Linked DNA regions of Drosophila melanogaster. The protein of the gene in region 1 purifies or fractionates together with the protein of each later gene. This does not show direct contact. Each region holds a gene or a part of one and is shown in the gene's direction. Other genes may lie near its edges. The genes, in order: CG10638, Slbp, Prosalpha6 and Jupiter.

Evidence for each region.
Region 2: the proteins of CG10638 (region 1) and Slbp purify together in Drosophila melanogaster (affinity purification with mass spectrometry, with the first as the bait; one large-scale study listed by BioGRID). This does not show direct contact.
Region 3: the proteins of CG10638 (region 1) and Prosalpha6 purify together in Drosophila melanogaster (affinity purification with mass spectrometry, with the first as the bait; one large-scale study listed by BioGRID). This does not show direct contact.
Region 4: the proteins of CG10638 (region 1) and Jupiter purify together in Drosophila melanogaster (affinity purification with mass spectrometry, with the first as the bait; one large-scale study listed by BioGRID). This does not show direct contact.

The regions. Positions count from the first base shown.
Region 1 is NT_037436.4:12,495,950-12,504,403, reverse strand, and holds CG10638 (uncharacterized protein), read left to right. Parts: upstream 1-3,092; 5' UTR 3,093-3,167; coding exon 3,168-3,239; intron 3,240-3,361; coding exon of another isoform or gene 3,362-3,529; intron 3,530-3,603; coding exon of another isoform or gene 3,604-3,773; intron 3,774-3,849; coding exon of another isoform or gene 3,850-4,192; exon of another isoform or gene 4,193-4,203; intron 4,204-4,251; coding exon of another isoform or gene 4,252-4,431; exon of another isoform or gene 4,432-4,603; intron 4,604-4,634; exon of another isoform or gene 4,635-4,802; intron 4,803-4,915; coding exon 4,916-5,083; intron 5,084-5,139; coding exon 5,140-5,655; intron 5,656-5,716; coding exon 5,717-5,914; 3' UTR 5,915-6,298; downstream 6,299-8,454. Other genes in the region: CG10646 (uncharacterized protein), read left to right, coding at 577-747, 799-1,779; CG10681 (uncharacterized protein), read right to left, coding at 1,929-2,400, 2,457-2,623; CG10657 (uncharacterized protein), read left to right, coding at 7,394-7,394.
Region 2 is NT_033777.3:29,149,326-29,155,903, reverse strand, and holds Slbp (Stem-loop binding protein), read left to right. Parts: upstream 1-2,637; 5' UTR 2,638-2,764; coding exon 2,765-2,920; intron 2,921-2,981; coding exon 2,982-3,656; 3' UTR 3,657-3,830; downstream 3,831-6,578. Other genes in the region: Rpn2 (regulatory particle non-ATPase 2), read right to left, coding at 1-1,168, 1,231-2,173; eIF2D (eukaryotic translation initiation factor 2D), read left to right, coding at 4,215-4,614, 4,673-5,964; Pglym78 (phosphoglyceromutase 78), read right to left, coding at 6,169-6,335, 6,398-6,578. UniProt on the Drosophila melanogaster protein: Involved in histone pre-mRNA 3' processing and couples histone mRNA production with the cell cycle. Both maternal and zygotic proteins play an essential and vital function for development.
Region 3 is NT_033779.5:10,218,302-10,224,965, forward strand, and holds Prosalpha6 (proteasome alpha6 subunit), read left to right. Parts: upstream 1-3,049; 5' UTR 3,050-3,141; coding exon 3,142-3,144; intron 3,145-3,212; coding exon 3,213-3,842; intron 3,843-3,900; coding exon 3,901-4,107; 3' UTR 4,108-4,245; downstream 4,246-6,664. Other genes in the region: Npc1a (Niemann-Pick type C-1a), read right to left, coding at 1-101, 478-570; Bcs1 chaperone, read left to right, coding at 4,845-6,140; CG5708 (uncharacterized protein), read right to left, coding at 6,459-6,591, 6,657-6,664. UniProt on the Drosophila melanogaster protein: The proteasome is a multicatalytic proteinase complex which is characterized by its ability to cleave peptides with Arg, Phe, Tyr, Leu, and Glu adjacent to the leaving group at neutral or slightly basic pH.
Region 4 is NT_033777.3:11,600,158-11,608,306, reverse strand, and holds the start of Jupiter (jupiter), read left to right. Parts: upstream 1-3,552; 5' UTR 3,553-3,721; intron 3,722-4,023; 5' UTR 4,024-4,103; coding exon 4,104-4,165; intron 4,166-8,149. UniProt on the Drosophila melanogaster protein: Binds to all microtubule populations.

The DNA.
Region 1 (8,454 bases):
TTAGTTTGATCGGTCGGAATACGCGTCTGTTGCTTTTTCAGATATTTTTTTTTTCACTTTTGTGTGAAAACAAAATGGAAGGAGAACGAGAAGAAACTGTGTTTGGGCACAGGGTTGTATTTCATTTATTTTTGGGGGGAGTCGATACGCTCTCTTGGCGTGGTCGAACGGTCACACTGGCCGAGAGATAACGGAAAATGTTTCAAAGGTAAGTAAAGATTATAAACGTATTAAGCTTAATACTATAATTAGCTTACTATTCCAAGTATGTATAATTATTACACGTTTAAAAGGCATAACGTTAAGTGTAACCAAATTATATCAATGGATTTTGAATACCAATATTATTTATTTTATATTTTGAGCTTAATATATTAAATCACATATATTTAAGCCTCTTTATATATGTAAATATTTTAATTTTATTAAAATAAATTATATATTGTTTTGTAATATGATCGAGGGCTGCCACCTTGTGATAAATGCTTACCAACACTTTTAGGTACGCCGTTTAGTGTACGTAAGTTGCGTACCTAGATATCCAGCGAAATCAAAACATTGAGTAAATCGTGGAAAATGGATGAAAATAGCTTAATCTACGGACTCGAACTGCAGGCGCGGGCTTTAACACCTCAGTACGGAGAGAGCAACGATGTGTGCTTCTTCATAGCCACCAACTCCTTGAAGCCCACCAATCAGGTTCACTTAATCCAGTACGAGGAGGAGCAGGGATCCGTGCAATCAAAGGTGAATATCTGGGATGATCAAAGTATGAGCTAAACATACAACTTTGAACAGGTCTTTGAGCACGCCCTGGGTGAAGTTTGGAAACTAAATAGTTGTCCGCGTAATCCTCGCCTGCTGGCCTCCGTCTACAATGTACAAAAGGGAGCACAAGTGCTGACCAAAGCGGCTCTGTTTACGCTGCCCGAGAATCTCAATCCCGATCCGGAGCAGCTGAAGTCAGAGTACCTGCCGTGGGAGCAGGTTGAGGTCCTGGATACCGAAGCACTGGGCGAACGTGTGAAGACCATCGAATTCCATCCCAACCAGGACACACTCGCCTGTGTGGTGGACAACAAGGTGGCTGTGATGCAGCGGGCCGAGTCCTCTACTCGCGTGGTGGCCGAGGTGCCGGCCAGTGGTTCATCCAGTGGATCTGCAAAGCACACACAGCATTTCACCAGCGGCAAGTGGTCGCATCATCATCAGGGCCACCAGTTTCTCACCCTCCAGGATGGCAATCTAAGTGCCTACGATGTGCGGGATACACAGCATTGTGCCTGGAGCATCAACGATGCGCATGGTCAAATGGTCCGTGACCTGGACTGCAATCCCAACAAGCAGTGCCATTTGGTCACCGGCGGTGACGATGGCTACTTGAGGATCTGGGACTGTCGCATGCCCAAGGCTCCCGTTTTCGAGCGCTCCGATCATTCGCATTGGGTCTGGTGCGTTCGCTTCAACACATTCCACGACCAACTGATCCTCTCCAGCTCCAGTGACTGCAAGGTGCTGCTCACGTGTGCGGGATCGGTTAGTTCGGAGACGCAGGTTCAGGCTGGACTAGATGAGTCCAACTTCAGTGGTGCCGATGCCGAGGAGAGGCACAAACTCTTGCCAGATGGTCTGCTGCAGACCTTCGATCAGCACGAGGACTCCGTTTACTGCGCGGAGTGGAGCAATGTGGATCCGTGGATCTTTGCTTCGCTCAGCTACGATGGTCGCGTCATAATCTCAAAGGTGCCCAAGCAGTACAAGTACCAGATTATATTTTAAGCCATTAGTTTCTTAAATTATTACGCATATTTCATTTAAATCTAACTAAACGAATTGTGTCCTTGTATGTAGTAGCAGGTTATACAAATATTAAACCAATAAGTTATTATATGAAGATAAATATATCGAGGGACTAAAGCTAATTAGGCTTAACCTGTATCCTCGGATGTGCAGTCGGAGGAATCATTGGGATTGGCAGTTTCCACGGAACAAACTCGCTTGATCAGCTCGTTTTCGATCTCCACAGTGCCATTGTCCACTGCCTCCTCCATCTGCACGTACTCTATGGTGGCGGCACTTTTCTTGGTGGATAGGACAGGTTTTGCGGCAGCAGGAGCAGGTGTTTCTGCAGTCTTTTTAGCCTGGGCTTCCGTATCATCCTCGGCTTCCTCAGCCAAACTGCTACGCTGCGGCTGAACTTCGGCGTAAATGGCGGGAAACTGCGACTGTAGCTTCTGCTTGATGATCCGTATCTTGCGGAATATGTAATCCAGATCCTTCTTCATTTCGCTCAGGCATTTCACGTGTCTTTTGAAATCCTCGCTGGCACTTTTCAAACGACTCTGCGATAAGGCATTGCAGTTGAGCAGCATCTCGTTGGTTTTCTCAAAGCGTTGCAGCCTGTGGGATATATTTTGGATGTTTATTATAATCTCTGGTTAAATGAAATGGCTTACATTTGCTTTTGAGCCCGTATCATGGTCTCCACATCGCCCTGATTCACCATTCCTGCGAGACTTTGAATGAAGGCCTCGGCGGCGGAGTTGCCGAAGCCAGTGAAGGATTCCAGGTCAGGAGTGGCATCCTCGGACTGGTGCACATCCGCAAGGCCCAAGTGGCTCATTGTAGCCTAGAATTTATTTGTTTATAATAAGGGAGAACACAAAAATTGATTTGTTTACTTGCTTTTCAAGGTCTCAAGGTTTCTTTGCGACAACTTGAACTCTGCTTTGTGTGCGTTTGCTGGCAGTTTTAGTTTTTTCTATTTTTATTTACGTTTTCAAATGGATCTCATGTTTCCATCTATTTTAAAAGTTCTTTTGTTTAGATTTCTTAAAAAAAAAGATATTTTCGTAACAGCTGTTTAAGTACTAGTTATAAACCAGTGCTGCAAGCTGCCAAAATGCAAAAGCACTGCCGTAATTAAATTTGAACATTTTACTTTTTAACATAAAATTAACACTGTTTTATGACAACATTTGTTCCTATTTAATATAAATCAAAGTTTCTTTAGCTATTTAAACACTTAAAAATATTTAAATAATAAAGCTTAGCAGAATGGCATTGGGTATTTTTACGCAAAGCCGTTTTGGTCACACTATGCTCACCGGCTTTTTTTTTATTAAGCGATTGAATTTCCTTATTTATTCTTGATTTAAACGTGCAAAATGAAGCTCGCTCCGACTGTTAAGCTAAACAATGGCTACGAGATGCCAATTCTGGGCCTAGGAACCTACAATGTAAGTCCTTATCATCGGCGATGCTAATAAATCAGCAGGCAGAAATTGTTTATGGAAATTTCTACCATTCAATTCCAATTAAGTGCAATTGTGAAATTGAAAGTTAATTATGTTATCTGTAGTTAAAGAAGTCTCGCTGTGAGGCTGCCGTGTGCCACGCCCTCGAAATGGGCTATCGGCATATAGACACCGCATATCTGTACAGGAATGAAGGCATTATAGGCAAGGTTTTAGCTAAACTTATTGGCGACCAGAAACTGAAACGCGAACAGGTGTTTCTGGTCACAAAGGTAGGATATAGTACAGATGGGTTATATATAGTTACCAGCACATGTAAATAGATCGAAAATCAATATCCAATTAGCTGTGGGACATATACCACGAACCCAAGATGGTGAAATACGCCTGTGATATGCAATTAAAGCTACTGGGCGTGGACTATATAGATCTATATCTGATGCATTCGCCGGTGGGCGTGGACTACATCTCTGATGAAGATCTGATGCCCCACGAGAATGGCCAGCTGAGGACCAAGTGAGTTTGGGATACAACTAAACATACATAGTTTAGATTCAAGAAGCTTAAAGAAACTGATCTTTGGAACTTATAGCGATGTGGACTATGTGGACACCTACAGAAGTATGGAGCAACTGGTGCATCTGGGGCTGGTGCGCAGCTTGGGATTGTCCAACTTTAATGCCAATCAGCTGAAGAGATTACTGGAAAACTGCCAAATCAAGCCGGCAAACCTACAAATAGAATGTCATCCGGAATTGGTGCAAGTCCCATTAATTGAGCTCTGTAAATTTCACAATATCACCGTGGTTGCCTATTCGCCACTGGGGCGTCCCAAAGCCTGCAATCCGCTGCCCGATTACTACACTGATTCCAAGCTACTGGCGTTGGCAGCGAAATACGGCAAGACACCAGCTCAAATCATCCTAAGATACTTGGTATAAACGACCTTAGAATTGTAAAGTGATAAAGATATTTATTGGCTAAAAATCTACAGATCGATATTGGCACGGTACCTATTCCAAAAGCTGCCCAGCGAGCCCATCTCGTAGAGAATCTGGATATATTTGATTTCCACCTAACGCCGGAGGAGTTGCTCCAAATGAAGACCTTTAATACAGGGCGCAGAATCTGGAAATTCGATAAAGCGAAGAATCATCAGTACTATCCGTACTAGCAAGAGATATTTAGTGTTCGGAAAAAAAGTGTAACTATGTAAATGTATAAGATAGAATCTCGTTAGATAGTTTAGTTTTTACGTTAGTTTTTTTTTAGTACAATATTACAATGTTATAAAATGTCATCATATCAATCGTTATCATATATAAATATACTATATTTTGTGCTAGATATGATCCTATTAACATTTTAAGTGCTCACCTGGGGAAATAATTATTTGTATCTCTCTAAATGTCTCTATCAAAGTTTATCGAATCTTTCGTGTGCCTTGCGACGTTGATCAGTTGTATAATTTCGGATATTGTTTCGATTTGTCAATTCGCGGCTCTCCGATATGCTCACAATTTCCTGGCCGAAACGAACGTGTTGCTGTGGTCGAAAATAACAATATACTGATCTCAAGAGTCGCATTATAAAACACATATTTGATTCTGTCAGAAAGGAGAAAGGTTAATGATGAATTTGATATTCTCTATTTGCAGTCGAAGGACAACGAAGGCGAAGCCGCTGTGAAACATGCGATTGATGTGGGCTATCGTCATATAGATACGGCCTATTTCTACCAAAACGAGGCCGAAGTGGGCAAGGCGATTCGGGACAAGATCGCAGAAGGTGTGGTCAAGCGAGAGGATATATTTTTGGTCACTAAGGTAAATGCCATGATGATATGTTCTAGATCTATCAATAAGATTATATTTTTGCGCAGCTTTGGAACATTTTCCACGATCCAGAGCGCGTTGAGGGCATTTGCCGCAAGCAGTTAAGCAATTTTGGCTTGGACTATATCGATCTGTATCTGATGCATATGCCAGTGGGCTACAAATATGTAGATGACAACACCCTGCTGCCCAAAAATGAGGACGATGTGCTCCAACTGAGCGATGTCGACTATCTGGATACGTACAAAGCCATGGAAAAGCTGGTAAAACTGGGCCTGGTGCGCAGCATCGGAGTATCCAACTTCAACAGCGAGCAGCTGGCACGAGTTTTGGCCAACTGCGAGATCAAACCCGTCACTAACCAGGTGGAGTGCTCGCCTGCGCTCAACCAGAAGGCTTTGACAGCCTTCTGCAAGAAGAACGACGTCACCTTGACGGGCTACACGCCTTTGGGAAAGCCCAAGCCGGATATTCAGAAGCCGGACTTTATCTATTCGCCGGAGGTGGCTGTTATTGCCAAAAAATATGGCAAGACTACACCGCAGATTGTGCTGCGTTACCTGGTAATTGAGGCATCAACCTGACCTCAGCGACAGCATCTAATTAAAATCTCTCTTTTCGCAGGTTGGTCTGGGTGTCATTCCCATTCCAAAGTCATCGAATACTAACCGAATTTCTGAGAACTTCGATATCTTCGATTTTGAGCTGACAGCCGAGGAAATGGCCGTTCTCGATGGTTATCACACTGGCGAACGGGTGGTGCCATTAAATTTGATTAAGGGCCTCAACCACAAGTACTACCCCTTTTCAATTGAGTTTTAAACCAGATGAGCGCCTTGTTGCTGTATCACGAATATAATGTAATAAATTTGTCATTACATCAATCTCTATGACAACAAATTGAATGCACGAATGTATCTGCATACTTATTCCAAACCCAAATCCAACACAAAGCTCTTAGTGCCTTGATGTTCTCCATGAAATCCGTCCAGTTGCCAACGATCCGATCCGCACCCCACCGTGGAACTTATTCCCAGAAATGAGGAGCAAATGGAAGCATCGATCTTTGGCACGGCACGTTTGACATCCAAGCTAAAAGGTGAAAATGTTTGAATAAGACCGAAATATTAAGTATTAAGCTTTTACGACCAATGGTAATGCGAAGTGCTCAAACTTGGAGATCACCAATGGAGATTCAAATTTAAGTTACATGTGGAAAAAACTGTATACCTGCATTATTTCAATCATTTCAATAGTTGTTCAGCTTAGACATTGATTAATGAACTAGTGATATTTTTAGAAGGTGCTTCAAGCTTTTCTACAGTAACTTTAGATATAGAAAATAGAAAAAAGTTTAGTAAGTAAATAAGACGTAAAAAAGCATATGGATTTAAGATGGATATGTGATTTAAAAAACGTTCTTTTAGAAGAACTTGTGCTGATTGCCAGCTGTTAGCCTAAATTGCTACATCAATTTTAAGGACGCATTTTTTGTTTGCCAACATTCTCTTATCAATGGATCTTCTATTCTGATGTATGGCCAAAAAATATCACGCGGAAGCTATTAGTTGCGCCAACCGCAGAAATGAAGCATGAAAGTATTATGGCTATTAGTTGATGTACCTATTACGCCCGACAGGCTAATTATCTTTGGATTGTTGGGTACATTTTGGGTTAATCGCGCCGCCGTAGACCTTTGTAAATAGCACCTCGGCCTGTGGGGTGACGTCAGAGCCAGCCAAGATGAGCACGGGCTGAATGAAATTGGGGTCGTCTAGCCTTTGAGCTGCCCCAAAATAGTGCATGGATGAGTGAATTAAATAGCGGACCGGACTTGGACTTACGTGCTGCTCCACGAGTCGATTAGAGGAGAATCTGTGGCATGCGCCACCTTGACCCAGGCCAAGAATAACATAACCCACCAAAACCACTTTCCATGCTGCAGATGGGTATCTCCTAGCTGGGATCGGATGCTCACTAAGTGCTCCACTGAGCCTCTTAGCCTCTCCACTCCAACCAAAATTCCACTCAAGCGTTTGAGTGAGTGAATTGCGGCCGAGAGCGTGAGGTTTAAATAAATTTTCAGTCAAAAAATTGGCAGTTTCGCTCCAAGCGTGCCCACGTTCACATCGTCGCCAGTTCAGTTGCGGAACTCATACACGGATATATATACACATATATTCCGGCGATCAATTAGAGCCCCGGAATTCAGCCACATCCCTCCCCTGCGACGCGTCCAAATATTGTTATATAAGTTTAACAACTTGTGAAATCCACGCAGTGCCAGTGCGTAAGACCAAAAGTGAGTTGAGCTGAGAATTACAACCCCCCCCCCCCCCCCCACATATACCATCTATTTGGTTGCAAAACCAAAAAGGATCGAATCGTGCATTATGTAAAGGCCCGAGAAAAGCGAGGTGGCGGGGAAAAACTTTCGCTTTCACCCAAGTACAGCTGGCTGCAGCTGCTGCGCATGCGCAGATACATTCGCAGATTGCTACTGTTTGCCGGGGATAAACCAGCCACACTATCGACTTGAATAAATCAGGTTCCCAAATAAGATACATTTGTACTTTTTGAGCCAGAAAAGATAGATTCTTAGAATGATACTATAGTTGGTAAATATATAAAATTATAGATATGATATATGAGCTATTTTTAAAGGATTTTTTCATAGGCTCTTTTCATAGTAAGCTATTAAAATGTTTTCTAAAATCTTTGCGCAATAATATTTCAATTTAAAATGTAAATAATAATAATATTTTTAGTTATATTTCGCTAGCTCCTTGAATTTCTCCCAGTGTAGCACTTGCACACCTTTGTTGATTGCTCTAAACTAGGTGCGTGGGTGTAGCCAAACTAAAATCGTATAGTTTTTTGTTTAGAGCCTTTTAATTGTGCTTTATTGACCCACTGCAAGTGCTTCGCTCTAGTCAATTATTTAAAGGCCAATAGTTAGCAGCTCTTCGAGAGTTTTGTAATTCTGTTTGCTGGCTTAATTGCCCAGCCAGACCACAAGAGGCCCGGGCGCACAAGGTCTTCTCGGCCGACAGCCGAAGTTGGCCAATACCGTAAAAGCCAAGTTGGTCGGTTATGTTGTTTGGTTGGAAAACGTACTCAATGCAATGCAATTTGTGCGGTTCGCATATAAATATTCATGGCAAGTGGCTATTGTGCAATTGCCAGGGACAAAGCCATCGACGTGACGGTTTCCTTTGACCAACAGCCACGACCTCGTCGGTAATTCTGGGTGCCATATGTCTAGTGAGTTGGATGGCCAGTTTTCCAGTTACAAGTGCAGTGGAATGGAGTTTTAACTCCATAACGCTACCTTGACCAACCGACTGGAATGGGCCACAAAA
Region 2 (6,578 bases), on another chromosome or scaffold:
AAAGCTCCCTGGCGCACAAAGTTGACCGGATCGAACTTCACCATTGGCTCCAGCAGGGCAATGGCCTCACGCAAACCTGTGCCGGCACAGGCGATACCAAGAGCCATTGCGGCTCCGTAACGAACGTGCGGGTTGTAGGACTCTGCCAGAAGGCTGACCACAGAGGGACACTGCTCCGGAGAGCGGAACAGGATGAAGCCGATGGCTGTCACAGCAGCACGTCGCACATCATCATTTACGTCGGAGACGGCCACGTGTAGCAGCTTGCGGATGGCCTTGTTGCTACCAGTACCATTGTAGGCCATAGCTATGGTGTACATTCCCGAGCGGCGCAACACAGGATCCTTGTCGGAAGACAGGCTGGTCACCAGGGGGTCGGCCTCCTCCAAACGAGAGAACATTGTGAGGGAGATGCCCACGGCTAGGCCGCGTAGGATCTTCTCGTGCTGCGTCTCCTGCGCATACGACACCATGTCCTCGATGGCCTGGGCGTTCTTGGAGCCCAGCATGACCATACCCATGGCAATGCCCGCCGCCTCTCCGGTAACCGCGTCATCCTGATACAAATTAAACTTCAGCTGCTCATACAGATCCTGGCGATGGGTGCCCATGCCAGCGAGACCTAGTCCCAGGCAGCCGCCATGACGCACATTCTCGTTTTGGGCATCCTTCAGCTGTTGCAGCAGGTAGTCTATAATGTTAGCTCCGTGATTCGCATGGATCAAGCCCAAAGCATAAAGGGCACCACCCTCAGAGTAACCAGAACTTGGACCGGCCTCCTTTGGCAGATAGCTCTGCATGAGAGCCAGGGAATCCTTCTCGTGACCCCGATGAATTACTCCAAGCGAAGCGGTTGCCGTCAGCTTGGCCCAATTCGTGGCCCTGGCCAGCCAGTCGAGGTTGTCGCGCAGGAATTGGTCGGAGGTGGTGCCGCTGTGCATGAAGGCGTTGGCAATAACAGTGGCTGTGTGGCAGATAGACACGCGGACCGCTTCCTTTGTGCCTCGAAGGACCTGCAAATCGGCGTGGTTGCTGCGGATGAGGAATTGGAGCTGTAGGTCGATGGAAACCTCGCCGGAGAGGATCGATATGAGCTTTTCAATGTTCTTCTGATGCAACTTTTCAACCTCGTTAAGGGAATCGATTGTGCGCTCTACTTTATCATCAGCTAGGTGAATAAAATGCGATTTATAAGTATTTTAAGGGACTGGATTAGAAAACCGGGTTTACCTGGCGTCTCCTCTGTGATATCCTCGTCAGACTTGGACTTGTCTCCCTCCGACTTGGCACCATCCTCGGAGGTGGTACCCTGGGGCTTAAATGTGCTGGGGAGGGCGGTTGGGATAGGAGCGGTGTTTTTGAGGTGCTGCAGCACATTGCCCAGAAACTCTTGCGTGGCCGACTCGTACAAATCAAAGGCAATCTGATAGGCCATCAGATTGTTTGTCTCCACCGAGGACCGTGTGAGGTTGTCCAGCATCTCGGCTACGGCGAAGGGGTCCTCCAGGAAGATGAGGCACTGACACATATTCACGTAGTCCGGCACACCCAGATCACGGTACAGACTGACCAGACAGCGCAGCACCTCATTGCGGAAGCCACGGTTCTGGATGAGGGACATGGTCACGTTGTAGGCGTAGGCCAGCATGCCACGCACATCGTCCGACTTCATGATAGCGTCCTTGAAGGTGTCCATGCGACGGGTCTCCAGAGCGATGCCCAGAGCCTGGCGGAACTGGTTGTCGTCCAGACAGCGCTGAATCATCCTGTTCACAATGCCCTCCAGCCGCTCGTCCACGACACTCGCCTCCTTAGGGTTCTCGATGAACTCCACCCGCTGGGCAATGTAGAAGTCGATGCACTTGGCAATGATGGTCTCCGTGTACTCATTGCGGGCATTCACGTCGAACAGATCACCAGCGCCCAGGGCGTACGTCAGAGCGTCCTCGAAGGAGCCCAGGTGATAGAACACCTTGGAGGCCACCATGCCAGCTAGCTTGTTTTCGGGGAAGCTGCGATCCTCGTGCAGCATCTCGATCTTCTCGATGGACTCCGAGATCTCCGGCCAGAACTCATCCACGATGTTGTCCAGCTTTTTGAGGGCGAACACCTTAAGATCCGGCATTGGCTCATCGAGTAGGGAAATTATCCCCGCGGCGGACGTAAGACTCATTTTCCAGCTGCGTTGTTTCCAGTCAAAAATATGTTCTACGGATTTTAAAGTGACGTATGTTCAACTTGGGCTCGAAAACTTTACGTTTGCTATGAAAACAAATCGTTCTTTTGCGTACTAACCAACAATTGCACCGTTTTAATTTTCAGTTTTCTTTTGTGCCGAAAAAATGCTAAATCACTCGGTAAGCAGACAGTGTTGGTAATGGTTGGTTGCTCGATGTCTTGCTATCGATGTGTACCGATGCATCGATATTGTTTGAGCCTCCCTCAGACAATTTAAAAATCGCTGTTAATTTTCTGTATGTTTAAATATGTATTGGACATCAAATTTTAACAAAATTGAAATGAAATGTAATACATTTGGAGCATAGTTTGAAATTAGTTGTGAGTGACCAGGTTGTTCTGTGTTGTGGTACCTTTTTGCCGCCTTCTTACCACCTCCACTTCTGGGCACACTGAGCATCGCATCTACAACAAAAAACGCGCGAAGGTTTGCGCAGAAAACGCAAAACACCGCCGCGACAACATCCTGGAGCAGCGGACCGCATCATACACAGCACAGTAAACAAACGAAAGATAATTGCACAACATGCTCTGCGAGGATCAGCACATGTCCGTGGAGAACACACCGCAGAAAGGCTCCGGCAGCCTGAATTCCTCAGCATCCTCCATTTCGATCGATGTGAAGCCCACCATGCAGAGCTGGGCCCAGGAGGTCCGCGCGGAGTTTGGCCACAGTGACGAGGTAAGTGAAGGTTGGCTGCTACGATCGGGAACACAATTAATTCTCTTGTTTGCACGTGCAGGCCTCCAGTTCCTTGAATAGCAGCGCTGCCAGCTGCGGTTCCTTGGCCAAAAAGGAGACAGCCGACGGTAATCTGGAGTCCAAAGATGGCGAGGGCCGGGAGATGGCATTTGAGTTCCTGGATGGCGTCAACGAGGTAAAGTTCGAGCGCCTGGTCAAGGAGGAGAAGCTAAAAACGCCCTACAAGCGCCGACACTCGTTCACGCCGCCCAGCAACGAGAACAGTCGCTCCAACAGTCCAAACAGCAGCAACTCCTCGGCCAACGGAGATGCAGCTGCGCCCAAAGGCGGCAACAATCCCCATTCGAGGAACTCAAAAAAGTCTGGCAACTTCCGCGCCCACAAGGAGGAGAAACGGGTGCGCCACAACAGCTACACGTCCTCCACCTCATCGTCATCCTCCTACACCGAAGCCGATCCCGCCATCCTAAGTCGCAGGCAGAAGCAAATAGATTACGGAAAGAATACTGCCGCCTACGAGCGCTATGTGGAAATGGTGCCAAAGGACGAGCGGACTCGCGATCATCCGCGCACCCCGAACAAGTATGGAAAGTACAGCCGCCGCGCCTTCGATGGGCTCGTGAAGATCTGGCGCAAAAGCCTCCACATCTATGATCCACCTACACAAGCGCGCGACACGGCCAAGGACAGTAATTCCGACTCGGATTCTGACTAGGATCGAATCTTGTTACCGGGCCGGGCTATGTTTTTCAAATATCGGGGGTTTAACTACTAATTTTTATTTCAAGTACAAAGTTAAAACTATGAATCAAACACGCATCTTCGAGTCACAAGGCCGTGTACGGGGAATTGTTACGCAGATGTTTTGTTGAATAAAATGGCGTCTTACAAGATCCTGGGTTTTCTGTCGTTTGCTACCTGAGGAAGTCCTTGGTGATTCGAAATTTTCCGGACCGCCGGCATTTTTACTGCGCGTGCTGTCCTTGTAATAACGTCTGCTCTTAACTAATTTTGATTTAGGGTAGAGTTATTGTGAAAAGAAAAGACAGGACTCACTTCTTTATTTTATGTTAATTTCTTTTTCTGCATCTTATTCTTATGTTTCTTATACTTGGTTTTAGAATATCGAATCCCATTGATATTTTTTTAAATATACAAACTGGCGAGAAAATAGCTAAAGCAGCACCCCCGTTTGCCAGTTGTTTGTTTTCACTGTGCATGTGCCACTCCAAACCATTTCACGAACTCCTCAAGTGCACACCACCAAACACAGATGTTTCTCAAGCCGTACAGACCCAAGAGCAGTGCTGCCCTCAAGGGATCCGATAGCAAGAAGTTCCGGCAGCGCGTGGAGGCGGCGTTCCCCCATGTGTCCGTGGATCAGCTGGTGCCGGCGAAGGCGGCGGTGACCCAGGTGAAGATCCTAACGCACGGCGGTGTTCAGAGCATGGTCTACTGCGTGGACAAGTTGCCTTTGTTCTTCGAGCTGGACGGCGGTCAACTTGTGCCCACCCTGTACACCCTGTGGATCGTTCCGGACATCCTGCCCTATTTCACCACCCACGAGGGTGTGTTACCCAAGCTGACGAACGGAGCGGATCTCATGCTGCCCGGAGTGGTGCCCCTGGGCGTGGGACTGAGCATGTACGGGCACTTCAAAAAGGGACAGTTGAGTGGGTATCTGCTTGGGATTCCCCAGGTAACGAGTATTGATCTCATTGTCTTTTTCAGTGGCCGTAAACCTCACAAACAACAAATCTGCGGTGGGCGTGGGCCAGTTGGCTCGCTCCAGCGATGAACTGTACATGTGCGGAGGTCACGGTGTGGCCATCAAGATGCTCCACCTCTTTGGGGACAAGCTCTGGTCGCATGAGCCCAGTCTGGTGCAGCAAATCCCGCTGGTCAAGACAAAGGCCTTGTCTGGCGAGGATTTCCCTGCTCTTGGGTCTGAGACGGAAAGGAGAAAGACCGCCAGCCCAGCTACTCCCGCTCCTGTGACCTTCGCTACGGTGGCCCAAACCGAGGAACTGGAAACGGAAACTGCTGCTCTGACCTTGGAAAGCCAGGAAGCTCCCGAGTCCGACGAAGAAGCCGTGGAGGAAGCCTCACCAGAACTTATACTCAAGAATGCCTTCCTCTCCGCCTTGAAAAACCATGGAAAGAAGCTGCCCCTGCCTCTGCTGACGAGCAATTTCTACAGACTCTATGTGGTCACGGAGGCCACGGAGCAAATCGACCTGAAGAAGACGCGCTACAAAAAGCTCTCCAACTTTCTGGCCGAGATGGTGGACCAAGGATTCATTGTGGTGCGGGAGGAGAGCAAGGGAGTGGATAAAATCACATCTGTGGACCTGGAGCACCCCGAAGTGGTGAACTTTATAACCGATGTCAAGGCAAGCGAAGCTAATGGAGCGGCGTCCGAGACGCCCCTGTTCCACTCCGAGCTGAAGGAGATGTACATAGTGACCGATGTTACGGCGGCCTTCTTCACCAAGCTGAATTACAAGCGCGGCGAGGGAATCCCGGCGGGTCAGATCAAGAAGATTGTGCGGGAGTACGTGAGCAAACATGGTCTCCTCCATCCGCTGACCAAGCTGGTGCGCCCCGACGACACTCTGATCGAGCTGTATGGTAACAGAGAGGTTTCGCTAAGCGAGATGTGCTCCCTCATCACCAGCAAGATGGAGCACTCCTACCAGATGTGCAGCGGCAAAGATACGAGCGGGAAGCCCCTCATCCAGATGTCCCTGGCCACGCGATCGGGCAACAAGAAGGTGACGCTGGTCAGCAACATCGAGGCGTACGGCATCATCCTGGCCGAGTTCATCAAGCTGTGCAAGCAGGGAGCCGCCGCCAGCACCAGTGTGGTGAAACTGCCGCACCAAAAGCACGAGCAGCTGCAAATCCAGGGCAACCAGGTGCGATTTGTGCACACGCTGCTCACGGAAACGTACAAGGTGCCGCCCAAGTGCATCCTGGGCCTGGAATTGGCCAAGGACGGCAAGAAGAATAAGAAGAAGTGAGCCGGACAATAAATGAAGCCTCCTCCGCCTGTCCTCTTGAGTGTAATAATAAATTATTTATTAACTGTAGTGGGGATGAACCAATTACTGCTACGCGAACAACAACAACGAATGGGATTGGCTACATCTTGAACAGAAGCGTAATCAGAATGCTCTGACTTGTGCCGTATTTGAGTGGATTCTCATGAGGTGTGGCCTGCGTGCTTACTTGGCCTTGCCCTGGGCGGCCACAGCCTCGATGGCCTTCTTCACGGTCTCCTCGTCGCCGAGGAACTGCATGGACACCACCGGCTTGAAGTTCTCGTCCAGCTCGTAGACGAACGGAATGCCCGTGGGCAGATTTAGGGCCATGATGGCGTCCTCAGAAAGGTCTGGATTGGACAAGGATATGGTAAAAAGATGATATGATATATGTTATGTCTCCCATGCTCACTGTCTAAATGCTTGACGATGCCACGGAGGCTGTTGCCGTGGGCAGCGATCAGGATGCGCTTGCCCTCCTTCATCTGGGGAATGATGACGTCGTTCCAGTAGGGCAGTGTGCGTTCGATGGTCAGCTTGAGGGACTCGAACTGGGGGAACTCCTCGGGCTTGGGACCCTCGGCGTAGCGGGG
Region 3 (6,664 bases), on another chromosome or scaffold:
TCCAGACCGTCAGTTGCCATTTCCTTCGCTGTTCCATTGTACGGACAGTTTTGGCTGTGCGAAAAGTCATTGGTGTTGCACACGCCATACCAAACGCAGTCCTTAAAAAGTTGCAAAATAAGTTAATAACATTATAGAGCAGAGATATGTAGAGTGAGCTAAGCTAAGTTGAAGTCTGGTTTTTAGCTATCTTTTTGCTGACCCCAAATACCTTTTTCAAATTTAAATATTACTTCCAAAACTAAGTACGTCATCTCACCGCCACCCAGAGCTATAAAAATATATATTTTTTCTAATTGCCTTGCATCTGTTTTAGCTCATTCATTGTTGAGGTGAAACAACAGCTTTTCCAATACAATTTACCAGTCCATTTTCAGAAATGATTTTACGACGACTAATCTGCGCGATTAAAAACCCAGTATGCTTAATATTGATAAAATATTGAAATTTAATGATAAAAACCAAATGTTAGTTTACCTGTTTCGATGATTGAATTAGCGTAAAGAGCACAGCAGCGATGAGGATGTGTACTCCAAATGGAGATATCCTGAGCGGGGATCTTGGACTCATTCTATCACAATCGCATATCTGTAAAGAACGTTTTTGGTTAAAGTATGCACCTGGGCTTACTATTATGTATGATATTCGAAGTAAGAGTCTCGGTTTTCGACTAAGAACTGAATCAAATGTAATCCGAGCCTGGCAAATTCAACGTTTTCGCTTACACAAATAAAGTACACTTCATGCAAATTTGCGTTTAGCCAGATGAAACCGTTTTCCAACGAATTAAATAAACATTTATTCCAGCAAACCAAATATATATATACAAAATATACAACGAAGTGAGTTTTGGAACACTTGCAACTCGCAATTGCGATATCTGGCGATTAAATTGTTGTTTAGACTCTGCAGATGCGCTGCAATTCGATAAGCAGTATTCCTAATAATAGAACTGCCTCCTAAGGAAAGAATAACAATAAAACTGATTCATTGCCACGCTTCAATATCCATTCAGTTTCAGTCAATATATATTGCTGAATGGTGTAATCAAATACTCGAAATTATAATGTAATCAAAACAGTGCACATTATATGGTTGGGTGGTTTAGAATTTCGGATAATCCCTCCACTCATTAAAATAATATATACCGATATGAAAACCAAATATACCAAAATAAAAGATTGCGTTTGTTTCGAATTTGTTTAACTTTTATTTGCCAAAATGTTTTGTATTTACAAAGAAAAATGTTAGTAAAATTTTCAAAAATACCACATGTTTTGTTAGGCATGAATATGAATTAATAAAATATTATTCAAAATTTCTAAGAATGCTAAAATTAATAGCGGAATTTTGACAAAACGATGGTTAAACTTTTAATAAATTAATATTTATAAATCTTTATGACTTTGTGTCATAAAAATCAAACTAGAATATGTATTAAAATAAATTTAAGATAAATCTAAACAATTGCATTCGTATTTAAAAAAAAAGATGAATGATTTTACTATCTTGTATACTGAAAATATTCTATAAAAAATGCATGACAAAAAGAATTGAAATAGTTTTCGAAATCGTACACCTATGATTTGTGTGCTAATTGACACAAAATGCGTTTTAATATCCAAAAAACTCGTGATCCATTAAGAGCAGTTCAAGAATTGTGACCCAATGGTCAATATAGAGTGAATCCACGAACACTGAGACCATTTGATACCGACTAGCTAGGTTAACAAGGTAGCTGGGCATGGAGCTACATACATAAGTCGGGTTTGGTCTTTGACATTGATACGTTAAATTTCGCGCTAAAACGCATTGTCGTTAACTGGCTTTCGTTATATGTATCTACAATACTAAACGACTACTGAGAAAGTGATGATGCAACTAGTTGTCTGATTTTATGGAGGGGGAAATTCCATTATGCTCGCTCGCTACGTACTATGTACAACTTCTTGGGAAATCGACACAACCGCTTCGATTGCCTTTTTTCCCTTCGCCACATGCAAATTTGGCTGGTGGTCAGTCGCATTTGGTAAATGGCATCGGGAATGGGATATGATCAGCGGATTGAAATATTCTGTGCTGGTCCATTCACGATGTTTTATTTATATATTTATTTTGCGCTATTTGGATATGTAGCTAAGCGGATGTCACGGAATAAAGCAATCTTGTAGCGAAGATATGGGAATACGGACAGCGAACAGTAGCCGCATTGAAGGGCACGCAATATAAGTATACTATCACTTTCACAGAAATCGTTAATTGTAAACATTAGTAATGCGCCGAACCAATAAAAATGTTTTCTTTGTTCGTGCACATACGTATATAGGGATATTATGAGGTGTACATATGTATGTAGCGGTTTGTGTGTATGTGTGTGTGCAATGAAGTCACCTTAGTTAATTCCTTCAGTTAATTAAATTACACGGCTTTATGATTAAGGTGCGCACGAAAATCTTTCTTTCTACTAATCTTAACAATGCAATTTTGATGCTAACACTTTCGAGTGGAGGTATATATATAGGCGAGCATATACCCTCGACAAACAATCCGATTACGGAGCTACAAACCCTCGGTCCCAAAACAGGAGAGAGTGAAAACTAACTGAAATATACAATTAAAACGTAAACACTCCCACTGACAGCTTATCAGACTTAATGGCAAAACAATCGATTGTAGTCGATATGCAGTGATTCCGAATGCAAGTTGGGAACAAGCGAATGGAACAAGAAATTCATTTAATTTTTTAAGTATGCAGTTAATAAATTAAACTAAATATAACTTAATTGTTAGTTAAGTCCCGATAAGCCGTTATAGTTTAAAATTGTATTACTCACATGGTATGCTGTAATTGTTGGTCAATTAAACGTGTGTAGTCAGGTATAATGTGGTGCTGGAATTAATTTAACTACGATTAACAAGGTGCTCATACAAGTTTACTGATTATAATTAATATCATTATCCCCTTAAATTTGTATGCATATCCTACAATGTTCTATTGCATCGTTCCAAAAATGATAGCATGCCCGAATCCCTTATCGATACCCGATACACAGTTTGTTTGTGTCTCCCGGCGTGCCATAACTAACTATCGGGCATTTCTACTTGTCATCATTGAGCTCAGCGGCTTGCATTTCAAAAGTCATGGTAAAGTGTTTATTGCGAATAATGGTGTGCTAACTGCATTTGTTACAAACTCACATCTTTGCTTTCAGTTTCGCAACCAGTACGATAGCGATGTTACTGTGTGGAGTCCGCAGGGACGTCTCCACCAGGTGGAGTACGCAATGGAGGCCGTGAAACTTGGCACCGCAACCGTGGGCCTGAAAAATAAAGATTACGCTGTACTTGTCGCCCTGTGTAAGCCGACATCGGAGCTATCGGATACCCAGCGCAAGATCATCCCAATCGACGATCACCTGGGCATTTCCATTGCTGGCCTCACGGCTGATGCCCGCGTCCTTAGCCGGTACTTGCGCTCCGAGTGCCTGAACTACAAGCACTCGTACGATACAACCTATCCAGTCTCGCGTCTGATCACTAACCTGGGCAACAAGATGCAGACGACCACTCAGCGCTACGATCGCCGTCCGTATGGAGTGGGCCTTTTGGTCGCCGGCTACGATGAGAGGGGTCCGCACATCTATCAGGTCACGCCATCGGCGACCTTTTTCAATTGCAAGGCCAATTCGATCGGATCGCGTTCACAGAGTGCACGCACCTATCTGGAGAAGAATTTGAACAAGTTCTTGGACAGTTCCAAAGATGAAATCATCCGTCACGGAATTCGCGCTATACTCGGTACCCTGCCTACGGATGAGCAAGGCAAAGATGCCGGTCAGTATGTAAGTTCATTGCACATTTCCCGTCGCGAATAGTTAGTAAATTGTGTTTTTCTTGCAGGACATCACTGTGGCCATCGTCGGCAAAGACCAGCCATTCACAATTCTCTCTAATAAAGACAGCGCCAAGCATGTGGCGATTGCCAAAGAGAATGACAATGATACGCCCAGGAACGACGATGACGATGATCGCCCATCCCCCCCAGAGGAACCAGCAGCCGGACCACGCGACCCAGAAGTCCTGGTTGCAACCGAGCAGCGTCCATAGGCATTTATAGGGCTATGAAAGCATCTTAACCATTAAAAATGTAAGATTCAAGGATACAATAAAATTGTTCATGCATTTGCATAGATCCTAAAACGGAACAAACTGAATAAATGAATACAAAAAATCAATGTTATGGGTAAAATTTTTTGATTTTAATTTTAAACCTTCATTTATTATTTATTTATAGTATTTATTAAATATTGGTTTTTCGATATAAGTTTTCCCAACTTATTTGCATTTTTCCGATTTCACAGTTCGGTCACACTGTTGGATTAAAAATATTTATCAATGCCGGTATTGAAACATTTCTACTATAAAAAAATGTTGATTGCTTTTAGTGAATGACAAGTTATCCTCTAAGATGGTTTTTATGCCAAATAAAATGTGCCACTTCAGCGGCAACTTGTATATTTATTTGCTCACACCTAAATTACAATTAATTACATAACGAGAGTGATGGCAAATGGTTGATTTAAATAATAAAATTACATGGTTTTCTCATGAGAAAATAAAATTGTTGGTGCCTTTGCTGAAGCGCACGTAAACAGTATATGTTAGACTTCAGTTTTATTTGTTTAAAAAGTTGCTTCGAAAAGATGTACCATTGTTTACAGGAGGAACCCATGTTTTGGATGATAGATTAAGCAACAGGTGTTGTTTTATAGGGTTTTATTGCCGAAAAAGAGTAAAACACTTTAATTAAACGTTGATCCTTGTTCTCGGTTTTTGCAGACAAGATGACTTTGCCCGATCTTGTAGCTGGACTTTCGTCAAATCCCTACTTTGGTGCCGGTTTTGGACTATTTGGTGTGGGCGCCGCTGCTGCCATATTGCGCAAGGGCCTCCAGGGCGGAGTGATACTGTTCCGGCGGCACTGCATGATTACCCTGGAGGTGCCGTGTCGGGACAAATCCTATCAGTGGCTGTTAAAATGGATTACGATCAGAGGAGCGCGAAAAACGCAACACTTGAGCGTGGAGACAAACTTTGTGCAGAACGACAATGGCACAATCAAAACCAGCTATGACTTCATACCCAGCATAGGCAAGCATCTGTTCCAGTACAAGGGCAATTGGATTCAGGTGGAGCGGACCAGGGAACAACAGACATTGGACCTTCACATGGGTGTTCCTTGGGAGACAGTGACGCTTACAGCGTTTGGTAACAATAAAGGTATATATTTCGATATCCTCGAAGAGGCTAGGCAGCTGGCTCTGGAGGCCACAGAGGGCAAAACCGTGCTGTACACAGCGATGGGTGCGGAATGGAGACCCTTCGGACATCCGCGCAGAAGGCGTCCCACTGGATCGGTGGTGCTGGATCGCGGAACTTCGCAGCGAATCATTGCCGACTGCCAGGACTTCATTAAGAGCTCTCTGTGGTATACGCAACGTGGAATCCCCTACCGAAGAGGCTACCTTCTGTACGGGCCACCTGGTTGTGGCAAGTCTAGCTTTATAACCGCCCTGGCGGGCGAACTGGAGTACAGTGTCTGCCTGCTAAACCTATCCGAAAGAGGCCTCACCGATGATCGACTCAATCATCTCCTGAATGTTGCGCCAGAGCAGAGTATCATTCTGCTGGAGGACATCGACGCAGCATTCGTCTCGCGCGAAGCTACTCCGCAGCAGAAATCCGCCTTTGACGGTCTCAACAGGATAACGTTCAGTGGACTCCTAAATTGCTTGGACGGTGTGGGCTCCACGGAGGCCAGAATTGTCTTCATGACAACAAACTACATTGACCGCCTCGATCCCGCCTTAGTTCGTCCTGGTAGAATCGATTTAAAGGAATACATTGGCTATTGTACGCAATATCAGTTGGAGGAGATGTTCAAGAACTTCTTCGCCAGCAGTGACACCACAAAAGCCGAGGAGTTCGGAAAACGAGTGAATTCCTTTGGACGCTCCGCTAGTCCGGCGCAAATTCAAGGCTTTTTCATGAAGCACAAACTGTCCTCGCCGCAAACTGTTATTGATTCTTGTGAAGATATCTGGGAAAATGTTTTAGATCATAATAAAAAGATTAATTGAATTGTTGTGGATTTTGTTTACTTGAAGCTCTTTAAGACAAGACTGATGTCCCTTTTGGGTCTTAATTAATTAAAACATCTATCAATTTTACTGTCATTCGATATTAGTTTATGTCATTGTTTTCGAATTTATTTCATTTTTCAATGATTTAAGATTATCCATTCGTTTTTATGCATAGTTGCACGTGTAATTCCCAATCGAACTCACCTAAATGAAGGTCTTGTTTTATATTATGATTTAATTACATTTTTATAGGTAATTTAAAAATATGAACTATGTTCTAAAATATATGTATATTTTATGTGACATTAAGTTTGATTAGTCCTTTGATCTTCTGGGCCTACCGACCTTTCCTTTCCTTTGTCCAAGCGTTCCATTCGAGTTGGCGGGGCCCTTAAGTAATTTGTGCCAATCTTGTTCACACACCAAGCTAGCTCCTAACATAGTATACCTGCAAAAAGAAAAAGCAATTCCATTTCAAATTCGCTCTTCACTGCAGTGTGTTGTTAGGCATACCTATCACC
Region 4 (8,149 bases), on another chromosome or scaffold:
CCAGAGCACAAACCATCGAGCCAGGGAGCACGGAGCACGGATGTCTTAGCCTACTGGTAACCGCTCACCTTTCTGACCGAAAGTCGCTTTTTGATGGCTTTCAGCTCACCGTGTGTTTGACTTCCTCTACTGTTTTCCCCTTCTCAACTACTCCATTTACTTTTTTTTTTTTTTTTGTTTGGTGGTTTCGGTTGTTTGCAGTGCACGTTTTCCTAATTGCTCCACTTAATCTCCGCTTTTAAGACTTTTTGGTGGTCAGTCAATGGCCCGCAGAGAAAACTAAATACTATTCATATGTGAAAATGTACACAGGGGCAGTGCTCCTTTGTTTCAGTTTGCCATTTGGCTGGAGATACATAAGTGTAAGTGAAAGATGAAAGAAATCTGTTTGCATTGAGTGATTTCATGGGTCGTTGAGCGTCCAGCCAAACAAAACTAATCTAATCAGATAGGTTTGTTTATATATCTATAAATGCATTTATTGACTGTCTGCTCATTAAAGAAAGTTTACTATTCGCCCCTCGGGGTTTTTTAACAATAGCTTTCGCTCCTATAACACTAGCTACGAGTATATCCTGACCAAATCCATTCAAATGTGCCTTGAGCTGCTTCCTCACCTTCTCACGATCGTTAAAGGCTCTGAATTATTGCACCTGTAACTCCAGTAGCTGTGCCCACATCGCTAAAAAAAAAAAAAAAAAAACAAAAAAAATAAGGAGCGTGAGCTATAAAAGTGAGTGTAAAGTTTTAATTAACGAAAGTTGGCCATAAATATGGCTTGGAAAATGCATTTCCGAATGTCACAGATACATGCCACAAATTTCCATATGTCGGACACGTACGTACAAACGTATGGATTATCCATTATCCATCATGGTAATTATGCAGGGCTTCGGCAGCCGGAAATTTCACTTTGTGCAGTGAAATTATTTATTGGCTTAAATATTCGCAGTATGTGCCGAAGAAATGTCTGCTGCTTGGCTTGCAAGAGGTGAGGTGTCGTTGCGATGCGATGCGATGCGATGCCTGGTTTATAATCATTAGGGTTTGCCGCCACATCACTTCAATTGTCAGTTACCGCTGCCCACGTTCAGATACTCGTACTCGTACTTGTACTTGCAATCCATCCCTACTTTAATGCCTTATGATGTTTTAACTACCTCGAAGTCGACCACATGACAGGGCACCACGTCCACATGGAGTCGGAAAAACGGGACGTGGGTGGGGAGGTGGGGGTACTGGGATGGGGCAGACGACTTCGATTCGAGATTAGACACACACACGCAGACACTGTGGTTACCCGAACTAGTGGCTTTAGCACACCGTCTCTAAACTTAACCAAAAGCTTATAATATTTTATATTATATATATGTATATGTATTTATATGTACTTTGGCGAAAGCCTGTTTAAATGTGAAATGTGTGAATGCGAAATAGGTAAGAGACATATTTATGGAAAGCGGAAATTTATTACGATAAAACAGTCGAGCACGCTCATATGTATTTAGCCAGAGACCACTGTACACGAAATAAAGTGAGTGCCGACTGCGTCTAGTTCCACCATTGCACTTCTCCTGGGCAAACATCAGGCGACACTTAACTATTAAGCAAGAGCTGCAAGAGAAGTCGGTGAAGGAGACGGAGCTCTCCTATTTTTAACCGCATGTCCCCACAGTCCCCATTCCAAGTCATTCCCCCCGCCCGCTTTTATTATTCCATTCCTGGACAAGTTGGTGCTGTTAATTTTTTTTAAGGGGAAAGGAAGAGGATACATATTATATTTTAGAAATTATCTCAAGATTATTCTTATATCAAGATTACCATAATTGACGTTACTATAATTGAAATTACACCATAATTGACATATTTTTCAATATTTCTCGCAGTAACAATTTGAATAAACTGTGAGTTGATGGGAAACTAGCTGAACTGTCAACTCTGGGGCAAGTACATAACGCCTAGGCTTTTACTTGCGCACAGCGACCGGCAAAAGGGGGCAAGTGGCATGTTGGTGTCAGGTTGCCGCATGTGCACCACTCCGCCGAATGCCCGCACCACCTCTGGCAACCCGTGCACCGCTCAGTGGGTAGCTAGTCCCACGACCCACCGATGGTAAAATAGCAAAACGGCAAGAAGCAGCGGCTGCGGCGACGACACGGCCAGTCAACTTTTGGCTCGGCTAAACAAAAGTGTCTTCGCAAGCTAAAAATAACCACTGTTTTGGCCCAGCTGCTTCCAACACACCCCTACCCTCTCCTCATTTTCCCGCCGACTTTGTGGCTCCATGGCCCGATCCTCTTAGTCGCTAGCTTGCGCTTCCTGTTCTGTGTGCAAATCTGTGCCAAATGTTTTCCAAGAAAACGCAGTATGCAAATACATATTGCATTTAAATTCTTGCTGCAGCAGCAGCAAAGCAGCAGCAAGTGTGGCAAATACAGGAAAAGGGGCAAAAGGGGCGGCCTCATTAGTGGCAAGACACTTGAAATTAGAGTTTGCAACTACTGCTACTGCTGCTGCTGTTGGCCCCAACCGAACTGAACGCTTGGCGATGATGAAAGTGATTTATGTCCGGCAAAGCAATGTTCCTCAGCTCCTCGTAGACACGAGACCCGATGTCTGGCCTGGCAGCAGCTTCATCTTGGCCAGGAAACATGTTTGTGGGCTGCTACCGCCTTGCAGCTGTGCTGTCCACACCCTGTAATCAAAGATAAGAAGCGTGTTGGAAATGGGGGGGGCTAAGTTCATAATGTTTTAGTACAAACTGAAATAGATATGAGCCTTTCTTTCGGCATTCAACTGCGATTTGTTTGTAGAGCTTGGATTTAGATTATAATAAGGTTTGGGTTTATAAGCCTGGTAGTTGAATTTTAGTGAATTGTGTATTTTTTGCAATCATTCAATAAAGTATAAATTTGATTTTTGCTATGGGTACATTTGGGTTTAAAACTTTGAATGCACTTGATTTTTTTAAGAGAAACTAGTTTTAAAAAACGAAGAAGATCAAGCAGAAGAAGCTGAGAAAAGAAACAATTGCATAGGAACCCTGAAGTGCACTAGACCTGAACTATTACTATTTTTTCGCTTTTCTAGCGCTTTTTGCAATGGCACGGCATAACTGAAGCATATCTGCGCACACTTCTCGCCGGTGGGGCACATAAAATGAGATAAATAAATGCAGAATGTTAATCCCGCAAGTGTCTTAAACACGGCTTAAGTATATGTTTTATTTTCGCTTCAGTTCCTGGCGTATTTTAAACTTTTTTGTGACCTACAAGCGGAGTGAAGAACTCACCACGAGTTGGGTTCTGCCCCACAAGTGAGAGATAGAGAGAGGGAGAGAGCATGGAAGAGAGCGGGCTCCAACTCTAATCAGCATCAGCTGTAGTTTGTTTTTGTTTTGATGCGCCACATGGCGGGCACTCACTCTCTTGCGCTCCCGCTCTCTTCCCGTGCAGCTTTTGCGCTCTGAGTGAGTTGGGTTTCGGTCGTTGTTTTTGGATCGATAAAACTTCTCGCGCTGCCGTGGTATAAAATGCTTTTCACTTTTCCCACTGCACTTTAGTCGCCAGACATTTATCGAAACGTGCACATCACCAGCGGTCGCACACTCAAACATATTGCATATATATATATATATATATATATTGCTATCCCAACAAAATATCCTTCGAATCGAAAAAAACCCACGCGAGTGCAAATCAAAAGTTTTTTAGCTTTCTTTGTGAGTGAAGTGTTTTTTGGGAATTTTTTCGGTAGTTGGTTGGGAAAACGTTGCAAGATATCCTGGCTTATCCAACTAAAGGAATTTCGTCCGTTTTCTGTCCGCTCTTACTGCACCCCCCTCTCCGCATATCTCTTGTCCGTTCTCTCCCGGGATGCTCCTTGCATTCTCTCGCAGTTGAGTAGGGTTTATTGATTTTACGCACATGCAGCATCCCCATCTATGAGTCATCATCATTCGTCCTGCAACATTTTCCCCCACGTGCCTAATCTCCGTTTTCCCCCACATCCGCGTGCGCTTAGATTTTTCCAGTGCGAAAAGTAAAGCAATTGCATCCATTCAACAGAGAGATTATCCTTTCGCCAAACAAATAGAAACAGAAATGGCCGCCTACGCTGCTTTCAAACACGTTGAGCTTTACAATGTTGGCAAAGCAAAGAAGAGGTAAGAAATTCCTAAAGGATACAGTTAAAGTGACATTTTTAAAGACTTCAGAACAAAGAATTTGCATGTCAAAAAATGAATCGATAAATTCGTTGTCCGGATTTATTACACATTTTTACACGGAAAAGGGAGTTCATCAGTTTTTGTCAATGCATGTCCCCATGCAAGAAAAGTCGTTTAATACGAGTACAAAAAGTGGCCTTTGTTAATAATGCTTTTGTCAAAAACCATCTTCTGAGGTTTTAAAAGGGTATAAATCACCATGACGCACAAAGAGAATCATATGGCTGGTAATTTCAGTAAATAGATATATTATCAATATTTATTCAAAATGAGTCTCACTAATTATGACAAGCTGCAAAGAATTGAAGGAATATTGTTTTGACAATGACGAACAATGATTAGTAGGTTCTTTATTAACAAATAATGTTCTCATGTAAATCATTACAGCTAGGACAATCAATATATTCTGTATTTGTTTAAAAATCTGTGTATCATAATAACGTAACTTACACGATGTTACTCAATGTGTTTGACTTATATTGAGGTTATTCGCCGACCGACTCATTTTCCCTGAAGTTTAACAACTGTTACGTGCCTACTGCACATTCTGTTATTGTTTGCCATCGCTCGAGTGAACTTTGATTGGCAAACATTTCGGAAGGCAGCAGCCTCATCGTGATCTGCATCAACATCTCCATTTCCATCTTTATCCCATTGTCTGAGCTGTCGGGCCGCACAAACACCGCACACTTACATATTCATTTGGTTATGTGTGTAGATTAATTTAGCGTTCATTCACCTCGCCGCCGCCTGACTGACTGACTAACTAATACTACCCATACAGTCGCGTGTGCACGGGGCGTATGTGTAATCTGGGGAGCACCACTTTTGCAAGCGCCTACTTCCCACAAAACCGAAACCACCTAGCAAGTGAACCACCACCACCCAGCAAAGCCAAGCCAAGCCAAGCCGCCGGTGTTGGCATGTCTTTGGATGTCGTCTCATTGATTTTCCTTTGCCAACCCAACGGCCACCTGCCCCACGCCAACCCACCGCACAAAGCACCACCCGCGACACCACCACTGCAGTCGTCCACTCGATGCTACCGCACCAAAGTCAAAGGGACCGACCGGCGTTCTTTGGGAATATACCCTTTCTTGCTCCGAGGCGTATGACAATCTCTTTTCGTGCCATCAAAACAATGCGCAATTTTAATTACGAGGTGTTAACGAAATATACTATTTGACGTGACACTACTACTAATAATAATAATGTTTGCACATCTAAGCAAAAGTGATTTCTCGGCTTCATCTGTGTTTCATTTAATTTCAAGGAGTAACTGCCAAACCGCTCTGTCAGTCTTTGCATAAAAAAAAATGGTGGCTTTATTAAACTATTTTTAGTTTATTAAAACTTGTTTTATTAGTACATAGACTTTGAAAGTTCAAAGTGTAGAATGGCATTTTTACAGTTATGAAGCTTATGATTTTTTATGGCATACTAAAATCCATAATAGCCGCCTATGGTGTACTAAAAACATTGGTTATGCAGTTATTATGAAAATTCAATTTTAGCTTCAACTCACTTTTCGGCAATCAAACAGATTTGTTAAACATAAAAACTGATTAGATTCGCCCATTATCCAAATGATACGAAATATAATAAAATGTTTATTATTGAACAATCACGTCCTATTACCGCTAAAAATAAATCATTATATTATTACCGTTTATCGCCGCTTGTACGACGAGGGTATTTCCCCCATCGACTTCTCTCAACTATGGCCCGCCTTTCTTTTTCAGTTAGTTTCGGCATTTGTTTTTGCATGCAATTCTTTGACCAAGCCCCATGTGCCCAGCACCACCCATTTTTCGCCTTTCGAGTGGGGAAACAACAACAAAATCGTTATCGAAATGTTTTTCGCTTATGTCTATTCCGTATACCACTCTTACGCTCTCGTACCTGTTCCGAGTTTGAATTCGTGTCCAAGTCCGCTTCCCTGTCCGCTGTTCCGACCGTCTGTCCGTCCGTCCGTTCAACTGTCCGTTTGTCCGTTGTCCGTCGTCCGCTGGTCCGTGGCGGACATTGAACCCCGCCTCTCTTCGCGGCCGTTGGGATCGGAGATTAGTTTTGGTCGCGGCAGAAACCAAATAGAAACAATTTTCCTTATGTGTGCCATGTGCATTATAAACAATTTGCTGGATTTTATGGTCCATCGATGGGTGGCTGGCTGCTGGGGATAAAGTGTGGAAAATGTGTTAATCATTGTCATTGATTGCGATTGTGTAACATACCGCCTTGGACTTTCCCGCCGGCGGCTGGGGGGAAAATGATTAATATACTTTTCCTCTGCATTTCGATGCAGCGTTTTGTCTGCCGTGTGTGTGTGTGTGTGTTCTCCTTTCTTCGGCAAAGCCATGACTTATTATTGTAAACAATCAAATTAAATCTCAAAGGTGCGACGCGCCAAGATATCGGATTGAATTGTCGCTCTTTGTTGCGTTGTATAAGCGGCGGAAATCATGACAATTCATTTTGTTTATGGCATTGTCTATCCATCTGACGATCATTATACGCTTGAATTCCTTTGCACAATGCCCGCATATCTACTGTTTACAACCTGAAGTTAACCTCATTCTGCAAGGAAAGTCGGCAAACAAATCAAGAATTTCCATATATTTATAACCATATATAATATACCGCGATGGGAATGTTTTTTTTTTTTTTTTTTTGGCGTTGCCAAGTCAACATTTATGCAAATGATTGCAGAACATGCGGAAAACGAGCCAAAGTCGTTATAAGGAATAATCAACAGAAATCTACACCACAACCCCACCACATACCCAGTATCAGCATGACCTATTGACAGAACCGAAAAGGAAATCAAACACATTTTACCGTAATGCCTGCGTCAATGTAATTCCTGTTGACACGGAAATCGGGCAGGAAAAGTGAAGAAAAACTTTTCGGCCCTTGGTGAAAGTGTGTTCCCCTGGCAACCCCAAAATGTATATGGTATGTACATTATATGGACTCTTGATGGAACCCTAGTGTACCTTAGAGTGCCTGATACGATGAATGAGGCTGTTCAGTATTCAATTCGCATCGATCGGGCGAAAATTGAAGGAGAAGGAGAAAGAGGAGTATTTTGGTTATCCTCTCGTCGGGAGGAGCTGTGTGTGAATATATTAGAAAGTCCTTTCGCTTTTCACAAAGCCGCAAATTAATCAATACAAATTTATTAATTACATATTTAAAAGCGGCAGATCTGCAACTTTCGCTGCGATGAGTGTGTCAGCAATTCTGGTATGGTTTGACTTTGGCTTTGGTTTCGGTTTTGCTCTCTGGCTCTGAAATGCACAATTTACGAAGCCAATCCCAGCTTACGTACGCATATACATAATAATAAAAATGCCAGCATCACTATCGGCATCTACATACATGCGGCTTTTCCAAGCCAGCTTTTCCTTTCCTCTCGAGCACAGCACACTTTCCTCGGAAACGGCAACTGCAACCGCACACGGCTAATCGATAATTATTCATCGGGCTCAGGCCAGCACTATCGATAATTGACAATCTATGGTTTGCCTGTGCCGCACAAAAAAAAAACTCCTTCTTCCCAGCATTGTCCAATTATGAATTTTCATCAAATCCCGCACCGACCATTAATCACACCTCCAAAAAAGAAAAAAAAAAAAGGAAAAAAAAAATAAGAAGAAACACCACCCGCTGCGGTTTTGATTTGGTGCCCTCTTGTGTCTTCCTGGTCATCATGTCTTCGGTGGAGGAGCCAATCCTCCATGCCCGCTGTCATCTGACACTTTTCACGACCGTGACTGACCAGGAAAACATATCAATTTAAATGCTATTGCCTTGATTGAGCCCGGGAAAGGGGGAAATGGGAAAAGCGCGTGGAACTGACACTCAAATTGTAGTTGAATCATGGGCAAAGGAAGTCGGTTTTAATTGGGAGGCGCAGCA